Mytilus edulis: one gene and its partners. Each later gene encodes a partner of the first gene's protein in a complex. Links are inferred from orthologs where the notes say so. Each region holds a gene or a part of one and is shown in the gene's direction. Other genes may lie near its edges. The genes, in order: regulator of MON1-CCZ1 complex-like, vacuolar fusion protein CCZ1 homolog and vacuolar fusion protein MON1 homolog A-like.

Region 1 (7,487 bases):
AAATGGAAAAAAGTGGTTTGCAATATTTTTTTATCTTTCAACATGTTTAAATCAGAATAAAAGGTTATTTCTGTTTTTGTACGCCCGTCTTTTAGACGGGACGTATTATGGTATACCGTTGTCCGTCCGTCGTCCACACTTCAGACAATAACTCAAAAACACTTTCACCAATTTTCATGAAACTTAAGTGAATTGTTTATATCTATTGACGTAAGCTCCCTTTCGTTTTTTTTTAATTTCAGATTTTAAGTTTTGGATTTATGGGGCTTTATTCATAAAAAAGGGGGGATTTTCAACACTTCGGACAATAACTCAAAAAGGCTTTCACCAATGTCTATGAAACTTTGGTGAATTGTTTATATCTATTGATGTAAGCTCCCTTTCAATTTTTATAAATTTCAGATTTTAAGTTTTGGATTTATGGGGCTTTATTCATAAAAAAAAAGGGGGGGGCTTATTATGTTCAGAACTTCAGATCTACACTACATTATTCTATTAAAAAAATTAAGGTAAAAGGTGGAATACGTATTCATGTTTGTTTGGTAACAATCAATGAAGTTGTACTTAATACATGTATGGCAAATTGAGAATATGTTGGTTTAAATAATCGTTTTGGATAATTGAAAACAGACTTAAGTTCTGAGTTTTCAAATGTATGTTTCGCATAACCATATACATTATACAGTTTTTATGTGTGAATGAGAAGTATTTAAAATGGAAAAAAGTGGTTTGCAATATTTTTTTATCTTTCAACATGTTTAAATCAGAATAAAAGGTTATTTCTGTTTTTGTACGCCCGTCTTTTAGACGGGACGTATTATGGTATACCGTTGTCCGTCCGTCGTCCACACTTCAGACAATAACTCAAAAACACTTTCACCAATTTTCATGAAACTTAAGTGAATTGTTTATATCTATTGACGTAAGCTCCCTTTCGTTTTTTTTTAATTTCAGATTTTAAGTTTTGGATTTATGGGGCTTTATTCATAAAAAGGGGGGATTTTCAACACTTCGGACAATAACTCAAAAAGGCTTTCACCAATGTCTATGAAACTTTGGTGAATTGTTTATATCTATTGATGTAAGCTCCCTTTCAATTTTTATAAATTTCAGATTTTAAGTTTTGGATTTATGGGGCTTTATTCATAAAAAAAAAAGGGGGGGGGGCTTATTATGTTCAGAACTTCAGATCTACACTACATTATTCTATTAAAAAAATTAAGGTAAAAGGTGGAATACGTATTCATGTTTGTTTGGTAACAATCAATGAAGTTGTACTTAATACATGTATGGCAAATTGAGAATATGTTGGTTTAAATAATCGTTTTGGATAATTGAAAACAGACTTAAGTTCTGAGTTTTCAAATGTATGTTTCGCATAACCATATACATTATACAGTTTTTATGTGTGAATGAGAAGTATTTAAAATGGAAAAAAGTGGTTTGCAATATTTTTTTATCTTTCAACATGTTTAAATCAGAATAAAAGGTTATTTCTGTTTTTGTACGCCCGTCTTTTAGACGGGACGTATTATGGTATACCGTTGTCCGTCCGTCGTCCACACTTCAGACAATAACTCAAAAACACTTTCACCAATTTTCATGAAACTTAAGTGAATTGTTTATATCTATTGACGTAAGCTCCCTTTCGTTTTTTTTTAATTTCAGATTTTAAGTTTTGGATTTATGGGGCTTTATTCATAAAAAAGGGGGGATTTTCAACACTTCGGACAATAACTCAAAAAGGCTTTCACCAATGTCTATGAAACTTTGGTGAATTGTTTATATCTATTGATGTAAGCTCCCTTTCAATTTTTATAAATTTCAGATTTTAAGTTTTGGATTTATGGGGCTTTATTCATAAAAAAAAGGGGAATTTTTTAACACTTCAGACAATAACTCAAAAAGGCTTTCACCAATGTCCATGAAACTTTGGTGAATTGTTTATATCTATTGATGTAACAAATAATACTTAATAAAATCTGATGAAAACATAAAATTTGTAAAATCTTTAGTTCAATTTAAAACATTAAATTTCTTGTAAAAAATAGATTCCATGAATGTCATACGTTTGTACTATTATTGAATGGTTGCAAGGATGAAAGCACATTAGCAGTCCCTGAGATACTAACTGTTCCCTGAGGCATATATCATTTTATGATAACATTTTTACTATCTAAGCTATGGATAAAAATCAAATACTGTTTTTGCATATAGGATGTTTTACTCTTGTTAAAATTGGTTGCAATTGAAATCACAAATGATACCTTAGCATTGCAGCTTTTTTATAGAGTTCGGTTTCGGTGGAAGGGTTGAGCGCAATAAAAAATGTTATAAAACATAACTAGTCTACAATAGCACATAATAAGTGAACAAGTGACAACATGAAAATCCTAACATGTGACTTAATATTCCTTAAATGTTAAAGGGTGTCATTTTATGAAAAAAATAAGGAAATCAAGTCTCCTAAACATTTATCAATATGATCATCTTGTGAATATTCTAAACAATAAAAGGTAATAATCATTATCCACCATATTAAGCACCATTTGAACAACTTTTGCATACATCTTTGTATAATTTAGTATGGATTCCTTACTGTGTTCAACAGAATCTAACTATGAGCAATATACCCAAAGAAAATTACCTTCTTTCAAACTACTATAAAATTAGTAAATCAGCCATAGAATTACTAAAACCCATAATCATATATCACTTTCCTTATATTGCATTGAAGACTTCTATGTTATATGCCAATGTTAATGATATTTGTTTTTTATGCTAAATATTGAAAAGCTGAACTAGGTTTAATCATCAGTGTCTTCTTCACTGTAATCACTGTCCTCATCATCAGAAAATCCTCATTTTCATTCTCAGAAGAGGCCTCCTCATCATCAATGAAATCTTTATCTTCATCATCAATGAAATCCTTACTTTCATCACCTACTTCCTCATTTAGATCATAACTTTCAGTAGAGTCACTTTCACCATCTTCACTTTTCCTGTTATCTTCTTGCTGCTCCTCATTGTCATTGTAGTCTTTTTTGCCATTTTTATACGCCCGTCGTCTTTCAAACAACGGGCGTAATCATGCGCTAAAGCGCAGCCCTTTATTGCTGTTATCAGCCATAAAGATAAATAGTCCATTTATCAAAATGCAAACTACCTAAATGTTAAAAAATCTAAATTTTACTCATGATTAGGAAGAAGCTTTAGTAAAAAATTCCTTAGGATGCAACATACTTTCTTAAACAATAGACAAGTAGCTGTACAATATGACATGCTCTTAATCATCAAGAGTTAATTATAGTTGCGAATATATTTAGGGAAACCAAAGTGATTGCCCCCTTCCACCTAACTTTTTGTCAAGTTTTGTCTAGCCTGCAATGAAAACTGCTGATATGTAGGTGTTGCCTTTTTCAGCGTTTTTAGCGGCAGCCTCAATTATTGTTAAGATTTTTTGGGTTAATCGGTTTTAAATGAGCTTTTTGTAGATCAATGCTATTTTCTATATATTGTATTACTATCAGATATATTGTCATGGTCCAGTGACTTTGAAATGATAAGCAATGTTGTATGTGCTGTTAATCAGATTGTCTTTTTTATGACCCATTTATGGGCATTATGTTTTCTGGTCTTTGCATCCATTTGTTCGTTTGTTCGTCTGTCCTGCTTCAGGTTAAACATTTTGGTCGAGGTAGTTTTTGATGAAGTTGAAATCCAATCAACTTGAAACTTAGTAAACATGTTCTTTCTAATTTTAATGCCAAATTAGAGATTTCATCCCATTTTCACGGTTGACTGAACATAGAAAATGATAGTGCAGATGGGGCATCCGTGTACTTGGGACACATTCTTGTTTTAAATTGTATTTCAACATATCTCTGTGTCAATAGGTTTTTTTTCTATTGCAAATAAGAAACATAAAATGATAGGGGACACTTTTTTTGGCAGGGTGCCTTTCTAGAGTTATGTCACTTTATGACTTTTTTATTCCACTCTAACTTAAGTTAGCATTCTGAAATTATTATGATCTGAGATTACTATAACGTTATAGTAGTCTTAGTTATGATACTCCACTCACACATAAAAGCTAAGAACCATAACAGATCATAACAGGCAGATAGAGTAAGAATTAGGAAGTTATTTATATGATAGAATATATTCATTTGTATTGTGTCCTATACCATGTTATTTTATTATTATCTATTTAATTGTCAGGATATGCATTTACAAAATCCTTCTTCTCTCCCCTGCCCGCCCAAATCTTATTATTCTCATCTTAATTAACCTTACTTTAAATTGTTCAAAGAAAACACAAATAAAATGTGTATGATAAACAGTACTATTTAAATAAAGGATAGAGATGTCTGTTCGAACGCACCTGTAATAGACTTTCGGAATCTCTCTTGACTTTTGGTGAAGACAGTGAAAACAGAAGAGATGCAAAAATGGCACAACAAAACGATGGGTGTTTTTACATCGAACTTTGTAAAAACCCTATTCGATTCGACCCAGTTGATAAAGTCACAAACGTATTCTATGACGACGCTAATAGACAGGTGAATGTACAACCACAGGCACTAGACGTTCTGTCAATAGCATGAAAATATTGGCAATGGGAAGAAAATAGTGTCCATATATATATATTATATATATGGACACTATTTTCTTCCCATTGCCAATATTTTCATGCTATTGACAGAACGTCTAGTGCCTGTGGTACAACTAGAATGTTGTCTTTGAAGGCCACACACTCTGATTTGTCATAGCTTAGAAAATGACTTTGTAACTTCATTTGAATCCCTTCATTTCAACACTTGTCTGCAAGGCTTCAGAGACATATTTTTGTGTACACATTTGTATATGTGTCTGGTACCTTGATTCAGTGTTGTTTCAACCAATGACAGTCTTGTCTACCCTTTGTCATTGAAATCATGTTTTTATTTCAAACTTTCCATTTAGTCGCACCGAAGTCATGGCAAAATATTCAGTTTGTTGATCATGGCCAAACCGCCATTATCCTGTCAGGTTGGGATTTGCTTATTTTACGTAAACATGGTAATGTGTTAATAGTTTAAATGATAGAAGAATTCTAAATTTGTGCTCTTTTGCGTATATTTCCTGTTAGAAAGTTCATTTATGTTATAAGGTCTCGATAAGAATCCATTGTTCAATGATGTCATATATCATATACACAGATTGACCCAGGTCCTAAAAAACTTGATATTGGTGTATATAAATTGCTATTTTGGAATCTGTGACACTATTGTGATGTCAGAATTTTACAGTAACCTTTGTGATGTCCAGTAATTGCGGACAAATTGTGTTTAGGTATATTTTGACGTCTGAAGGCTATTTTTTTTTTGCTGTGATGCCACATGAACATCATGAAGGCGATTGTAAGCTTACTTTTCTGGAGGACTACATTGATACCTCAACCTTTCACTTTACAGAACCTACCATATTAATTGATGATTTGTTCTCATTCTGATCATTCGTGAAATATTTGCTACTGGACTAAAGCAAACAACAATCAATCTATCAATCCTTTTATTTATACTTGTACTAAGTATGGATATAAGAAGATGTTGTACATGTATGAGTGCAAAAGGGACTGTATTGTGGAAAAAAATATTACTTTAGTTATGTTGTCTTTGCCATCAACCATTGTCAACAGATGATATTAGTAAATATTATGAATGTTTTACAAGGACAACAGAAGCCAGAAAGAATACCCTTTATTTATATGTCAAATAACTTAATACAATGTACATGAAATGGATAACAGAAATCCCTGACATTCAACATTGTGTATTCAATCTTTTTTTCTAACTACAGAACAAACTCCTTCACCTAACTCAAATTCCTCAGAATAAATAGATTTCAAAGACAAAACAACAACAATAACACATGGTTCAGATAGCCTTACTTTGTACAGGCTCTAATGTGGTGGGGTGAAACAGTGTTGCATACACACAAACCACCCCTTTATCTATGTAGATTCTTGACCATATGTTGTAAAACTAAAACACATATCGTAATAAAAACTGCTCACATCAAAAACCAACAGGATGACCTCTTGCTAAGAATTAAAAAAAGCCATAACATAATTTGGAAAGATGAGTCAGGTTGAATGTCTATTTGTATACTAGTACATGTAATAGATAACTCTGTCTGAATTTGTTTATATGTGACCACTTACAAGGAAATAAAAAGCCTGGACATAACTTGAAAAGCTGGAACAAATATTAATTGAATACCTATTTGTAGGATTACACATGGTCTTCTTCAAAGAGATAACCTTTAATTTTTTACATGCAAAATAATGATTGATCAGAGGCAAAAGAACATAGAATTTATATTACACTATGAATTAAAACATTTTGTTTATATCTCACAAAAAAAAAGGGAAAGGGGGTTAATTGATTTTTTTCCATTGAGTGATTTATGTATGTTGTAGGTATTTGCAGTACGTTCCTGTGGAGCTATGGGGGTGGTGGTTAAAGGACCAAACGATAGCAACTCTCTTACTTTCAGGTTGTACATTTGTACCGTACATTATATTTGAAAGAAATTTGAAATTATGATTTAATTTGCTAATTTTATATACATGTATTGTTATTCAAATTATTGTCTGATAAGATCATCACTTGTCTGAATTTGCTATCCAATACATACATGAAGCAAAACTTTATCCTGCAATATACCAGAAGATAAGTGCTTAACCATGTTAACTTACTGTTCTTTATTTTGAAAGTCACTAACATTTTTGTCTTGTTCTGAACATGACGAGCAATTTGAGAAATATAACTTCAAGAATGACCAACTTATCTAATCAGATAAGGACAAGGTAGGATAAGGCCTGATTTTGGCCTCCCTATTTTCTAATTTTTATATTTTTGCGGTCGTATATTGGTATCACGTCGTCGTCAGCGTCATCCAAAGACGGATGGTTTCCGGATAATAACTTTAGTATAAGTAAATAGAAATCAATAAAATTTTACCACAATGTTTGTAACCTCAAAGGGAAGGTTGGGATTGATCTTTAGGGTTATGGTCCCATCGGTTTAGGAATTAGGGGCCCAAAACATACATTTATCTAGTTTCAGGTCAATAAGTTGTGTATAAGTATTTCAATTACCCTGAAATTGTACCACAATGTTCATACCATTAATTAGAAGGTTGGGATATATTTTAAGGGTTATGGGGCAAACAGTCTAGGAATTATTGGCCAAAAACAAGCATTTTTGAAGTTTTGGGGTAATAACATGTTTAACTGTATGGATCTCTCTGACATTGTACCACAAGGTTCCATATAAAGAAGGGAAGGCTTGGTGTCAGTTTGGAGTTTATATCCCTGAATATTTAGGAATAAGGGGCCCAAAAAGAATCATTTTTGTAGTTTACAGACAATAGCTTGTGTTGAAGGGTATGAATCTCTCTGAAATTATACTACAAGGTTTCTTACTACAAAGGAAAGGCTG
Region 2 (7,838 bases), on another chromosome or scaffold:
GAGATGTTGTTTCGATGGGTCTTTGCTGATTTTTGTCATAAATTGTAACTCATAGCAATACAAAAACAGGTCCACAATAAGTGGTGCACAGTTAGTCCCCATTGGAATTCCAATAACCATACGATATATAGAATCTTCAAAGCGAACAAAAATGTTATCTAGTAAAAATTCAAGGGCATATATAGTATCAAAGCATGTCCAATTGACATAGTTTTTTTGTTTATTGCTACTAAAAAATGACCTAAAAGAGTTTGAACATATATATTCACATTCTGACTTTTTAAATGCCCATTTAATTAGGTGGGTGAATTTTTTCTTAATGAGAATGTGAGGCAATGTGGTATACAGGGTAGAAAAATCAAAACTTTGAACAGATTCAAAATCACCAATATAAGCATGCAATTTATCAAGTACTTCCAACGAGTTCTTGACACTCCAAAAGTAATTAATTCCACTATTTTCGAAGGCCTTATTTGAACAATTTATTATCAGGTTTTTGATTGTACCAAGTGTACTGGTAAGAAGAATAGACAATTTAGTAGTGGAACAATGGCTTGAAGACGAAATAAATCTATATTTGTAAGGTGTTTTGTGTAGCTTCGGAAGCCAATACATAGTAGGGACTTTCATTGTATTCAGTTCTGCTTGTAAAGGGGTAGCTAAAAGTTTATGTTTGTTACAGATGTCGATTTCTGAAAATGGAGTCAGTTGGAATGTTGGTGAATTGGTAATTTCTTTTTTCAGAACCTCAATGTAAAATTTACGTCAAACAATAACAATATTATTAGCAGCTTTATCGGCCGGGAAAAAAACAAATTCCTTGGCTAGTTCTTTTAGTTTATGTTTGATACGAGAATTAGGTTTATTGTGGTTATTGTTAATAATAAAATGTTCTTTAAAATGTTGAATATGTATATCAACTATGTTCATTACTGAATTAAAGAAAGAGTCCAAAGATTTTTTGTCAGCTTTTTCCCGTTTTATCCATTTCAAACAGTAAGTACGGAGTGAGTCGTGGATGATATTACGAAATTCATTCCAATTAATAACTGACGGGGGACGATATTTAGGTCCTTTACTGAGGAATGATTTTAACTCTCAGTCTTGAACGATATTAAGATCTCCTGTTATAACATGGGAAATGGGTCCATAAATGTATGTGGAATTACTACAATTACATGAAGTAGGTGTATTTTCACTGATATTAGCGGCTAGTTTAAGAAAGTTATTAAAATTTTAAAAACTTTAATGACAGAGTGAATGTAATGTTTCCTGGCAGAAAAACTAAGTCCATTTAAAGTAAAATACGGAAAAACAGGATTTTTTTTTACAAAATTTACTTCTGGATACTATCTTAAGATCATAAACAAGCTTCTGTCCAAGTTTGGTAGAAATCCAGGCCAGTTTAAGGAGGTTATTAAAACTTAAAAAACTTTAACCACAGAGTGAAAGTAATGTTTCCTTGCAGAAAAATTAAGTCCATTTATAAGTAAAATACGGAAAAACAGGAATCTTTAACCACAGAGTGAATATTTGTGAACGCCGCCACCGCCGACACCAACAGAATGTAGGAAAGCTATATCTCACTTTTTCGACATAAGTCGAAGGCTCAACAAAAATATATACAACCTGGTAGTAAAAGATAAAGTTAGAGTTTGTAGTTTTATATGAAAATTTGCAATGACATCTATAAAGAAAACAATGAAAGTATATAAGTTCCATTAGTAACAAGATAATATTTTACAACAGGGATATAGTTGTCATAAATTGGTTAAAAATTTACCTCATTTTATCACAGATACAAATGCATAGTAATTCATTGAGGAAGAATTAATCCACTTACAGGTATTCAACAAAACACACATGTACATGTAACATTTCAAACCCATCATTTTCCTTTTCTGTTATTTATGCAGCTTAACAATTAGGAGTTGTCTATTAATTATTTAATTTGGCTTAAATAAAAGACTGATACTAAGAGTATCATTTATCATTGCACCCGAAATTTCTAAGGAATGAACATCAATTTGCTACATGTAGTTAAAGTTTGACAGACCAAAAACAGTTCTAACTTTAACTTCATCATTGAAATTCTGTTCAAATATTTTGTGGCATTGTGTCTTCCTGTTTCTGCTTATGATGCTGATATCAATTTGTCATATATATATACATGTAAATACCTTTATCTTTGACTTTCTTCTCTATCTCAGCAAAAGCCTGGTCAACAGAATTATCATCTGTTATATCAAGTTTTATTATCTGTATACTACTGTACTCTGATCTAAGTTGACTGGCTCCTTTACCATCTGGATTATAACACCCAGCAAACACAGACAATCCTTCTCCTGATAAACGACGAGCCACAGCATTCCCAAAACCTTTTAAGATAAAGTTACCAAAAAAACAAGATAAAAACTCTTTTCTCAATGCTTTCAAAATAACAACCAAATCCTGAAAGTTTGGAATAACTTCATGACACCACTTTTGAGTTCGCCTTAATTTACTAACATGAAGAGGAGAAATACATACAGTAATTTATAGTATCCTTTGAATTTGGTTTAAATGTTATTTTTTATCAGTAACAATTTTAATGTTCATAAGGCACAATATTAAGCAATTGATCATAATTACTTTTACTTTACTTTAGTCTGTACTGTTCCGTCTATATTAGACGACCAACTTTTCAGTGTGAATATCATTAAAATTGTCATTTAATTCAATGCACTAGTTGTATGTTATACCATATTACCATAAGAATTATTATAATTCTAAAATACAAGTATGGTCCAAATCTACCTGATATTACTTAAGTTTGAAAAGTCAATAACCAGAGACTATCAACCCATCTTCTTTTGCTCTGCATTGAATGGATCCCATATATCCTTTGTCATGTTTGTTTTCCTATTACATTATTACCTGTATCACAACCAGTTATAAAGACATATTTTTCCTCTGTGTTTATTCGTCTGAAGGTAAGTTTCTGATACACTACATTTAGTATAATGAGAAAAGCCACAAACAGTATTGTTTTGGCTATGAATGGTTGGACTATAATGAATGGTAGCACTGCCAATACTCCCAGATAAGTCAGTTCAAAAGCCTGGAATCCTATGAACTTCTTGATTCCCATTCCTAAGTAACTTCTTATGCTGTCCATTCTGATAGCTTGTAGCTTATACTGCTCTCTGTAATTAATCAATACACATGTTTAACAACTGCAGAATGAGTTTTCTTAGAATTGATCTGTTTAATCTTACTGAAGCACACAATGTATTTAATTTTTGAATAATTAGCATTGACTAGCGAAAGCTAAAAAAATTCCAACTGCACTGCACAGCACAGAGTAATTTTGTAGGTGTACCAACAGTCATGTTTGTCCATTTGTTATACATTTTAATGAACACTGTAAAGGTTCATCAAAAGAAATTGAAAATGGCTGCGTTAACATCACAAAATCTACTATGAATACAGACAAACTGATGCATCTAGGAACGTTTTAAGGCATGGCAGGACCTAGATATATAAAAGTTATAAGTAGTCTATGTTTCAGAAAATTAAAAACTTTTACCTGGATTTTGATGTGCCTTTTTTTACAGTCTGCAGAAGATAGCAAAATAAACAAACACACAAGTTTCATTCGATACAGTCAACTCAGTTACACAGTTTAAATCACCTCTTGTTTGCAATGTCTATTGTCCATCTATTGTCCATTTAGATCAATACTACATACAACTTTGATTATATGAGAGGAGATTCTCAAACTTTTCCCAAACTTAGTTTATTTTTGCACCTTTTTCAGGAATGAAAAAACTGAATAGCAAAATCCATAAAAGGTTATAATTTTCTGAAACATAAAATGCATAACCTGACGGTACCCAAATTGCACCTATTTTGACAGTTTTTTCTCCTACGTTTTTTTATGATCAAGACAAAAATGTCCACTCTGTGTTTATTTTGTAGCTGTATCCTTCTTTATTATAAAAGTACACCAATTTGATTTTTAATCCATATTGAGTCATAGGTTTGAATCGACCTCCAAACTATTCATGATTTCGTAATGAGGAGTACCCAAATTGCATCCATGCTTAAATTTACATCATTAAAAATCGAATAACAAATGTTTTGTTTTATTTTTTCAATTATTTAGAACAATTGGATATTAGTCCATATTTAGTCTTATTTTTTTAAGAAATGGATACTTGTAACATATTGTTTTTGTTAATTTAAAAAAGATGACGTTTTAATGATGTCGCATGGCGACGTTTCCGTACATTTTGCTTTTTCAGTAAACACTTCATCTGTTGATAAATACTGTGAACGTTTTGTGTATATCTAAATATCTTTACATATGTTGAAAGACGTGCATAGTATCAAATCATAAAAATGCAAATTGTTTAGTCTCTAGGAAATCTTGTAAGATATCCACTGATATTTTTTCTAAATAGGTGCAATTTGGGTATCCTGCCATGCCTTAAAACTTCTCCGGGTGGAAAGGTTTGTCTGTACTTAGAGTTAAATTTAGGGTGTAAATACTGACATATATTTTAGCAAAAAGGTTATGATGAACTGAGCTAACAAAGAAATGTTAAAATATTTGCATTCCAATACAAAGAATTATGACGTCTTATAGTATAATGATGTTCATAACTCTATGAAACTTGAATATTTCATATTTCATTCTATGAAAATTGTGTTTTTGATAGTTATGTAAATACTTTACATTTTTACAAAATAATCACCCTATGATGGCCTATCGTCCTCAATATCGAACCATACAAAGTGCCAAGTGAAAGTAGCCGGAAATAGACTAGAAAAGGACTTCCTGTTAAATCGAAAGTAGAGTTGTGAAGTAGGAGTAAACTTTGAAGTCTGCTAGGCTAGAAAATGACTTTCATCAGAGGCATTAATGATTTTGACAATTGTATTTTCTGGATCACAAACCTGCATTAATTAATGCATGAATATTTTAACGAGAAACAAGAAATTTCCACTTCATGTTGTTGCAACAGTGATAAGTTGTCAAACATTTTTACTAAGCATAGTCAAAGGCCAACTAGTAGAAAATCAAGCGACCAAGAAATAAAACATAACAGCACACCAAATCATAACAAAAGCATGGCTGTTAAAGGAGGAATAAGCCTGATTAATTTCTTTGTATTCAATTCAGAATATGGACCAAGAGAGGGTGATGTAAGTTTATACAAAGTACAAGGTATTGTGCCTTGGTTATTTAAGAATATACACTCTTTTGATAATTCATATTCTTAGCTGAGACTCCATATAAAAAACAAAAATGAAATGTGCAGAATATATGTACCAATATTGAGAATAAGACCTGGGCATATAAAATAGAAGATGTGGTATGATTGTCAATGAGACAACTGCAGTCCACAGGAGACCAAATGACACAGACATTAACAACTCACCCTTCACCCTAATTCAAGTCACCCTAGTATCTGTTCACCCTTATTCTATTTCATTTTGATGTCTTGGTATACATAATTTATATAATTTGAATACACTATGTTAATGTAAGTTGCATAAAAAACTATAAACTTAAAAATTTCGCATTTACATGTAGAGTGTGTCCTACTTATTTGACTTTCTCAGTTTATCAACACTAAAAGTTAAAATTTTCCATGTTTTATTTTAAAACCATGGCAATGATTTCTTAGATAAAAAAAAATGATATGTCAAGAATTGCCACTCAAACATTGTCAAACAGAACTTTTTGATAATGCTAAAATGTTTATTTCAGGAAGAGAAAAAGATCATGTATTACTATCCAAAGAATGACCATATAGATACTAAGATAAAACAAATTGGACTGTGTGAAGCTATCTGCAAGTTTACTGAGTAAGTACATTTTGAATTGTTATTTTTTTTTAAATATCTGAAGCAATTACACATGTAGGCTTGCATTTTTGCATGTCTCTTCTGCTTAAAAAAATTATGATTAGGTTAAATATTGAAGAATGATGATCAGACATACATGTTTGATTACCATACAACTTTTGACCCTTATCCAATACCTTGAACAAACTTTTTCTAGAATTTCCAATAGGTTGAAGAAGTTTTCTATTGATTTTGATTTTGGTATCACTAGGTCAAAGGGTAAGTGATAGAATGAAATTTGGACAAATTCTGGTTTCCTACCATATGTCCAAACTTCATTAATTTATTTAAAAATGACCTTTTCAAAGAATAAGACCTCTAGATTACAAGGTTCAGATCAAGGTCATGGTCACAACACCTACAAATAGACTGCCAATTTTGGCAAAGGTTTGATAACTGGGCAATACATTTCAATCCATGAATCAGATGTTTACTATTTTTCATTGGATTTTGGGGTGAAAAAGATCCATGTTGATTTTAGGGTCACTTGACCAAGATAAAGATCACAGCAGTGATTAAAAGACTGAAATTTAGGTGCATTTTAAGTGTTTGCCATTGATATAGTCCTCTAAACCCTACATCTAATCTTGACCAAAGTTAGTCTTGTAATTTCCACTAAGAAGGAAACAAATCTGGGAAAAGGTTTGTTTCCTAACAAAATCTTTTGACCTATAAATCAGATCCTTACCAAAGCATGTATCAAAATATGATGCAATCAAAATATGATTTAATATGGCAAACTGAGCTTAATAATGATTTCAGAGGCAATAAACTATATGGTAACAAGCTCAGAACTTATAGACTTTTTAAAAGCAGATTTTGCTTAGAAAATTACCTTTTGCAGGAAAATTTTAGATATAGACATTATTTAACAAAATTCCATATCAGTGCTCACGATTTAGAGATTGAGAGAGGAAGGTACAAAAATATGACAGTGTCAGAACGTATCTGTAAATTGTGCGGTACTGAGGTTGAGGATGAAATTCATTTTCTTCTTCAGTGCCACAAACTTTCAAATATTCGTTTCAACTTTTTAAATGAAATAAAACAACGGTTTAAAAATTTTAGTGGTTTAGATATTAAATCACAATTTATTTGGCTAATGTCCTCTGAAGATACTTTCATACTCCAGAAACTCGGAGAATTATTGGAAAATTTATCCTCATATAGGAAAGTTTCCTTAAATGATATATAGATATAGAAATGCCCAGTGACCCTCCTTATATTATTAAACACTGTGCTTGTTGTATTCTTGTACTTGTCTTAATAAATATTTTTTGGTTTGGTTGTTTTTTTGGGTTTTTTTATAACATTGTGTCTTAATCATATAGAATCACTTGTAATCATTCGTATGTAATTAATGTTGATTGTTCTGCTCCTTGTGGGCGCTTTGATTAGCAATAAAATATATTTGAAATTTGTATTTTTTGCTTCCTCAACAAAGAAGACAGCATTTGAATTTGAGGTCAACATGTTAATACATATACTATAAGGACTTCAAAATTGTGTTAACAAATTAAATAAATTTACAGTTGATTATAAAATGACAGTTAACACAAAAAAGACCAAGGTTCTTGTATTTAACAAATCAGGAAGACTTAAAAATATTAAAATTTCATCAGGAAACCAGACTTTAGAATGTGTACAGAACTACACATACTTAGGTATAAATTTTTCATCATCTGGGAGTTTCCAAATAGCAAAGAAAGAACTTTATAACAAAGGAATGAAAGCATATTTCAAATTAAGGAAGACCTTTTCAGTGGAAATCCCAAAACCTAGTACTTCATTACACATCTATTACCATATAATCCGACCAATCTTGTTGTATGGATCTGAAATTTGGGGTTATATACCACATAAGAAACAAATACATTTGGATAACTTTATATCAAAAGAAACTGATTATCTTGTACTAGAGAAAATTCATACTAAGCTTTGTA
Region 3 (6,960 bases), about 32 Mb from region 1:
TGTTAAAGTACTTCTGTTTGTCTGTTTGTCTGTTTGTCTGTGTGTCTGTGTGTCTGTGTGTCTGTGTGTCTATTTGTCTGTTTGTCTATTAGCCATGTCGTTGGCAGTTTATTTTCGACTCGGACTTTGAATGTCCCTTTGGTATCCTCTATTTGTGTGCCTTTATGGAGGGATCATATCAGCTGGAAATTACGTTATAAGTAAAGAAGGGCCGAAACAGGGAGTTTCTACTGTGGTATAGCAGATGTTGTAATATGAAAGGGTCGATAGAGACACTTTTAATGATGCCTAGGTTGAAAGAATGGGATATTTGTCGAATATTAGTATAATATATAGGTATATAAAAATGTGGCATGAATGCCAATGAGAAAACTCTCCATCCAAGTAATAATTTATAAAAGTAATCCATTATATGTCAAGGCACGGCCTTCAACACGGAGCCTTGGCTCACACCGAACAGCAAGCTATAAAGGGCCCCAAAAATTACTAGTGTAAAACCATTCAAACGGTTTATTGATTGATTGCTGGTTGCTTAACGTCCAGTGGCAAATATTTCATGCATGGTCAGGGCTAGAACAGGTTAACAATAAAAACAATAGGTAGGTCTTGTACTGAATAGAAGCCGTCCGAGATGATGGTCTGGGAAATGAGGGTATAGTGGACAGAAATTTTGCCTTGCAACAGGCCACCTACGGACCCCTCAAAGAGGTGTTGCAAGGGTTCTTAACGTGCAGAAAGCGTGGCACTCTCTTTACACGAGACATCGGATTTAACGTCCCCATTCTGACTCGACATGGCTGCAAACTTGATACATCCCGCACAGCCAAACGGACGCCCCACTTTGTCTAGCGTTTTACTGCCGGTCGGAGGAAGATCAAGTGATCATACTTCTATTCCCCAGTCACCCTTTCCATTCCGAAAACGGGAAACCAACGGTCTAATCTATATAAAAACGAGAAACGATAAACACGTATGAACTACATAAACTGACGACAACCACTGTACAATGATTACATGTAAATGATAAAATACGTTTTAGTTGGTTTACCAAAAAAAAACCACAAAAAAGGAAATAAATACGGGTAATATAAAGGTTTTTCTGTATCAAAATATATGCAATGAAAGTAAGTATTAATTGTATCTATTTGTACAAATTATAAATTATATTTACACCATGATGACATCGGAAGTAAAGGATATATGTATACCTGAAATTTATCACGATTATCTTGACCCTCTAAAATGTGGGTCCACAAATTACTGAAATCTATCGTTTTTCATTAATCATAAAATCATTGTGTAAATTATATATAAGTTGAATGATAAACTTTCTTTTAGTGGTCTCCAAACAATAATCTCTTAAAAATATATATATAACAGACGGCTATTATTTTTTTTTGAAGAAATGTAAGTTAATTTCCTGCTATGACTGCGAATTGTTTCATTTCGGATTTTTGTAACAGTTATACTGTGCATAATTAATACATCATTGTTTTCCCAATTGGTTTATGTATTACCATTAAGAACCCAAAACAAAACATTAAACAGCGTATCAATAATATTATAAACAATTTAAATTATTCGTTCCTGTGATCTTTCATGATTAATTTCTAGCATTTACTTACTAGTCTGAATTCAATTAAAAAAGTAACATAACATTAACCTATACCGTTTTTATTAAACTTATGAAGGCAGACTTAAGTATAATAAGGCCGAGGCTTTCAACAAAAGCTATGATATATTTTACGAAACACCACAAAACTATCCTAAAGATATGAAATATCTATAACTTAATTTTCAAGCATGCAATTGTAGTTTTTAGTTACAAATAAAATATGTATAAATGATAAGCTATACAACTCCAATGTGTTCAAGATTAAAAGTTCAAGTAGAAATAAGTAAAATCACAAATATTGTGAAACAAGTTTTATTGTTTCCAATAATTGTTAGCTCGTCAATGTAAGAAACAACCATTAAAAGACAGAAAAATTTCATGATCCTGGAATAACAGTATATGATATTAAAGATATGAAACTTTGAAAAAACTCGAGAAAAAACTTAACTGATTTATAAAAAAAATATATAATTGTAAGTAACATGTTTTATGTTGTGATCATATTTTGTATGATTATATCAGGAACATAAATATACTGTTCCCAGATTATATGTATCATATATATTCTATGATAGACATGGTAATCTCATCCACTATTTGTGATGATTTTAATTCTATTTTTATCAATATGTTTATGTGTTATGAATGTAAGATTTTAATTCTATTTTTATCAATATGTTTATGTGTAGTTATGAATGTGATATATTGTGTATTGTTGTCATTATGTCCCGTCAGGGAGCCTTGATTGGAAAATAAAAGAACTTAGAACTTTGATCAAATTAGTATGAAGTAGCAGTCTTTTTTTTTTTTTGGGGGGGGGGGGGGGGGGGAACTTGACTAGCAATGATTGTACAGTAAGACTTACTTTACACAAGCCCTTTTTGGGGGACTATAAGAATTATTTTACAATATGCTCCTACGTCAAAGCCGAACTTTTTAGAATTTCAAACATAAGCTATCTGTTGTCACTGCGACATTATGTCACTTATGATCTAACTTAATTTCTTATAATGTGTTACATAATGTCATTTGCATACCAATAGACAATCTCAATCTAACCCACACTCTAAGCAAACCTTTACTGCAGTCTTCAAAGCATGGACTAGTATACTAGTAAAGTATGTCCCAGATATAACTAATGTTTTTGCTATGACGTTACGCACGATATTCGTACCTCATTGGAAATTCAGTCGGTGTAGTTGGCAAGATGCAAGTCCAAAATATATAATTGTGTGATATCATATTCATTGCTATTGTACGTATTTTAAAAAATAACGATTTTTAAAATAAAAACGAAACAAATAATTGTTGAAACTATGTTTTATGTTGCATGCGACAAGCTTCATTTAAAAAAAACGGCGATTTTTAGGTTGTCCCGCGTAACATATTTCATTTATTGTAACCACTATTAGTCTAAACTATGATTTTGCGGTCAAAACTATTTAATATTTTGAAAAACGTTTTTTTTTTCCATAATTAAACAGAATGGTTCCTTCAGTCTTTTATGCATTTTTTTATGACGTTATGATGACGTCATAGAAAAAACCGCGTTCCATACTACAAGGGCAAATCTGTCCCGCGGGGAAAAAATTGGAATTCCAGATTTGAGAATCAAAAAACATTTATCTAAAATGAAAAAAGTTTAGTATTTGTATTTACTACATCAATGTTAATTTGCTTAATTTTATGAATTTAAAGACAAATATCCTGAAAAATGATATATGGTAATTTATGAGCTATTTTTCAAAGGCTTACAAGTTTGTCGCATCGCCATTTTCTGACGTAAAAACGAACTCAACTCAAATTTACGTCAATTGTTTGCTTATCACTGCTCTTATAATGGTAGAATTTTATGATTTTTTTAAATGTTATTTTTCTTAAATTTTCAAGAAACTAAAATACATCAATTTTCGATGGGTAGTTAAAAAGCACCGTCGATGATTTTGCGGATTCTTACAAGAATGTCGCACTTGCTTAAAAACAACGTTTCAGTCAAATTTTCGGTTTGAACGTTACGACATATTCGGGACGTTGTGTTACGGTAACGCTTACATGTACGAACATCGCGCGTAACGTCTATACAATCATGAAAGCTAAAGCCAGACAAGCTTTTTGGACAGCTAACACTTGTTCCCCTTATATTTAGAATAATGATATGCCATTCTTTGAAAAAGTTTATTGAGACTCTCGAATATCAAGAATGTATTTATATGACAAATCAGAAGTTTTGCAAACACTGTAAACTATGTTACAGATTTAAAGCATACAACATCAAAAATATTTTATAAACCGGAAGTCATTTTCGGTGATCTCAAATAATGAACCCTGGCTATGGACGAGTCAGAGGGCAAAGAGGCGGAACAGGTGCCCCCTTCAGTGCGAAATCCAGACTCCGCTTCTGCTTCTGATCAAGACGATTTTGTAGAACCTGCATCAGAAGAAATAAAGAACGCAGTTCTTGTGGCAGCAGATACCTTTGTGGATATAAATTACGACGATCTGGTCAACGAAGATTATGACAGCCATCCAAGTGGTGTCATTCACGCCATTGTTCGTTCTGGATCTCAGGACGAACACAGTTCCTCAGAACACAATGACACATCCACTGGTGAAGAATCAAGTGAAGATCACAATGAGGTCATTATCATCTCATGTCACGAAATATTAATATTTGTGTACAGCCACAATTTTTAAGTCCATTAGGTCCAAAACAATGTTCCTGTTTATAAATGATCAGATATACATGTAATATCTGTTGGTTCCAAGACCATGAGTTCCAAAACGATTTTAAGATTTTAATGCCAAACTTACAACTGTTCTTGATGTATACTATAATACCACATTTAAAACAAAAACATACATTTTGTATCAATACACATAATACAGGGCATAGTCCGAGATTATTCTGATGTTCTTGGACTATACAGTGCAGTGCCATAGCGGAGGGGGGCATTTTAAAGTTCTACCCTTGTCCAACTGAACGTCCATAATTACATCTGTCTGTACGTTCCAAAGTTTGTTTCCGTTCTCTTACTTTAGATTGCCTCAAACAAATGTTATGAAACTAATTACCACAAAATACAGATAAAGTTTTTATTTTGGGGGTGGCACTTTTATTTTTCTAGAGTTATGCCCCTTTACAAATGAAAAAATTGTTTTTTTATTCTGTCTCTAACTTAAGTTTGCCACAACTAATTTGGCAAATGCTATGAAACATTTACACAAAGCTTATTGAAGTATAAATCAAGGCAGTATTCGGGTGGTACTTCAACCGTTCTAGAGTTATACTCTTTTACAAATTGATAGCGTCACTTTAACCGTTTTTTTTTTAGTGGTTCATCTTTGTCCCATGGACACATTCCCATTTTGATATTGTTTTTTTTTTTTTGGTTTATCATTTTCACAGTGGTGTAACTTATAATTAAACTATATATGCAAATCAATGAAATTCTTTTGAAAATTGGCAATGGGTAGAAAGTCTATGTATTTTTACAGATAAGTGTAATGCCTAAAAATTGCAGAAATTATTGAGTGCATTTATTATTGCAAAAAATTATGAAGAATGGACTAAAATGCAAGATTATTTGTTGCAGTTTCAGGAAAATCTGCATACAGTTGTACTTTTAGATATCAGAATGTGAGGTTTATTATTGTGATACTCATTCAATCACATTATTCCCATTTATGAAAACCTCACAATGATTTCTGTCATCTAAATTTACAATAATCATGATGATAGTGGAAAAAAGTAATTGTCAAAATAAAAATGAAGTGGTCTTATCCAATACCTTTGTGTGCAAACATTTGTCAAAGACAGATGAATGTATACATACCTGTACAAAATGTACCAATACAGTTAAATAAGCTAATCCTTCTTATTTTTCATGTTTTTTACTAGATTCCAAAAGATTTATCTGCAGCTTTGAATGATGTGGTTTTGAAAGAGTCTGACCCTATAGAAGAAATTGAAGAAGATGAGTATGGAAAAGGGTCCAAGTGGCAACTGGAAAAGAAGCATATTTTTATACTAAGTAGTTCTGGAAAGCCTATTTACTCACGGTAATAGATATTTTATAGATAGGATATAAATCAGAAAATTTATTGTTATATGCATGTTTTTTTCTGTTCAAATGATTTAGCAATAGATAAAAGTTATCTGTATCAACATGGAGGGATCATCACATTAGGGGAAGAGAAAGAGTTTAACACTAAATTGGTTTCAAAATAATCCAAAGTTATTTTCATTTCCTTGCTTTTTTGTCATGGAGAAATTAAAAAAAAAATTTTATAGCAATAAAATTTGATTTTCACACTTTAATACTCGCCATGGCAAAAATGACAAGTCCCAATGATTTTCTAACCTGATAACATGTATTATTACAAAGTATATAAAATTTTCTGTTGTATTCAGACATTTTAAAAACTTGCTGTCAATTAATATCTGTTCATTCTATTCTATGGCTTTCCAGGGTCCCGAACTTCCCATGTAAAAAGTTCAAAATAAAGACTTTAAAAATCTTTATTTTCTGCAAGTGAAATGTTTGTACAGCATTTGAAAAGAAATATCTGAAAATTGTCTTGTTAAGAATTTTTACAACCATCTAGCATATTATATTTCTGTGTAATTTTGTGTATTTTCGTATTATCAATGATTATGTATTTAATTAGTGCTATAAGATTAATATCTTCACATTAAAATTCATATTGAAAGTTTTATTTATACAGGCATGGTCAGGAAGATAAACTGGTGACAATTATGGGAGTTCTTCAAGCTTTGATATCATTTGTGTCTGCAGCTAAAGACTCAATGCGTAGTATTGTTGCTGGAGATCATAAGTTTGTGTTCTTAGTTCGAGAACATATTTACCTTGTTGCGGTATCAAAAGGATTGGAATCAGTCCAACAACTTGTACTACAACTATCATATATTTATAATCAAATTCTTAGTGTACTTACATTTACTTCATTACAAAAAATCTTCAAACAGAGGAGAAATTATGATTTGCGGAGAATGTTGAGTGGATCCGAAAAATTTATTGACAATCTATTGAATTTAATGGACCATGACCCTAGTTTTAAACTTCAAGCAGTACGATGTCTGCCTTTAGATAGCCCCGTTAGAGATAGCATTGCTCAAAGTATAATTCAACATGCAAGAGTTAAGGTAAGAATTGATGTACAACAGTTCGACTACCATTGTACATGTAGCTCGAGTTATACAAAATTTTAGCTCCAGTTACAAAATGTAAACAAAATTTGTATGTTTACATTGGACATTCAAAATATTTATGTACTAGTACTACATGTACATGTACATTATATTTTTTGTTAAACATTAAATATTA

What was found.
Region 2: the proteins of regulator of MON1-CCZ1 complex-like (region 1) and vacuolar fusion protein CCZ1 homolog are in contact, whole or in part, in a cryo-EM structure (PDB 8JBE), measured with the Drosophila melanogaster proteins. The link is inferred for Mytilus edulis from reciprocal best matches to the Drosophila melanogaster genes Bulli and Ccz1. Residues at the interface, in NP_648047.2 of Drosophila melanogaster: Tyr395, Gly397, Phe407, Tyr464, Ser467, Met470, Leu471, Gln474, Asn477, Asn498, Arg499, Asp502, Thr503, Arg505, Arg506, Leu507, Tyr510, Met512, Asp530, Thr531, Ala532, Gln535, Ile538, Asp539, Arg543, His547, Ile550, Lys559, Asp562, Leu566; in NP_647835.1 of Drosophila melanogaster: Tyr188, Leu189, Pro190, Leu191, Asp192, Lys193, Thr194, Phe196, Leu197, Arg198, Gln200, Asn201, Glu207, Val223, Leu224, Cys225, Gly226, Lys228, Tyr342, Asn385, Gln387, Ser388, Pro427, Ala428, Asn447, Tyr448, Arg449, Asp479, Phe483, Lys485.
Region 3: the proteins of regulator of MON1-CCZ1 complex-like (region 1) and vacuolar fusion protein MON1 homolog A-like are in contact, whole or in part, in a cryo-EM structure (PDB 8JBE), measured with the Drosophila melanogaster proteins. The link is inferred for Mytilus edulis from reciprocal best matches to the Drosophila melanogaster genes Bulli and Mon1. Residues at the interface, in NP_648047.2 of Drosophila melanogaster: Ile561, Arg565, Lys568, Asp590, Leu592, His595, Ser596, Arg599, Phe600, Met603, Phe631, Pro632; in NP_608868.1 of Drosophila melanogaster: Pro416, Glu417, Arg419, His438, Pro439, Glu445, Arg448, Met473, Lys474, Glu475, Arg476, Glu494, Pro495, Val496.

Annotation. Positions count from the first base shown.
Region 1 is NC_092344.1:110,108,026-110,115,512, forward strand, and holds the start of regulator of MON1-CCZ1 complex-like, read left to right. Parts: upstream 1-4,409; 5' UTR 4,410-4,451; coding exon 4,452-4,562; intron 4,563-6,463; coding exon 6,464-6,540; intron 6,541-7,487. UniProt on the Drosophila melanogaster protein: Positive regulator of the Rab7 guanyl-nucleotide exchange activity of the Mon1-Ccz1 complex, possibly by enhancing its endosomal membrane association.
Region 2 is NC_092352.1:32,880,707-32,888,544, reverse strand, and holds the start of vacuolar fusion protein CCZ1 homolog, read left to right. Parts: upstream 1-4,804; 5' UTR 4,805-4,953; coding exon 4,954-5,190; intron 5,191-5,758; coding exon 5,759-5,856; intron 5,857-7,838. Other genes in the region: short-chain dehydrogenase/reductase family 9C member 7-like, read right to left, coding at 2,181-2,378, 2,917-3,157. UniProt on the Drosophila melanogaster protein: Part of the Mon1-Ccz1 guanyl-nucleotide exchange factor complex specific for Rab7 that promotes the exchange of GDP to GTP, converting Rab7 from an inactive GDP-bound form into an active GTP-bound form.
Region 3 is NC_092344.1:78,429,757-78,436,716, reverse strand, and holds the start of vacuolar fusion protein MON1 homolog A-like, read left to right. Parts: upstream 1-3,907; 5' UTR 3,908-3,946; coding exon 3,947-4,252; intron 4,253-5,513; coding exon 5,514-5,674; intron 5,675-6,340; coding exon 6,341-6,779; intron 6,780-6,960. UniProt on the Drosophila melanogaster protein: Part of the Mon1-Ccz1 guanyl-nucleotide exchange factor complex specific for Rab7 that promotes the exchange of GDP to GTP, converting Rab7 from an inactive GDP-bound form into an active GTP-bound form.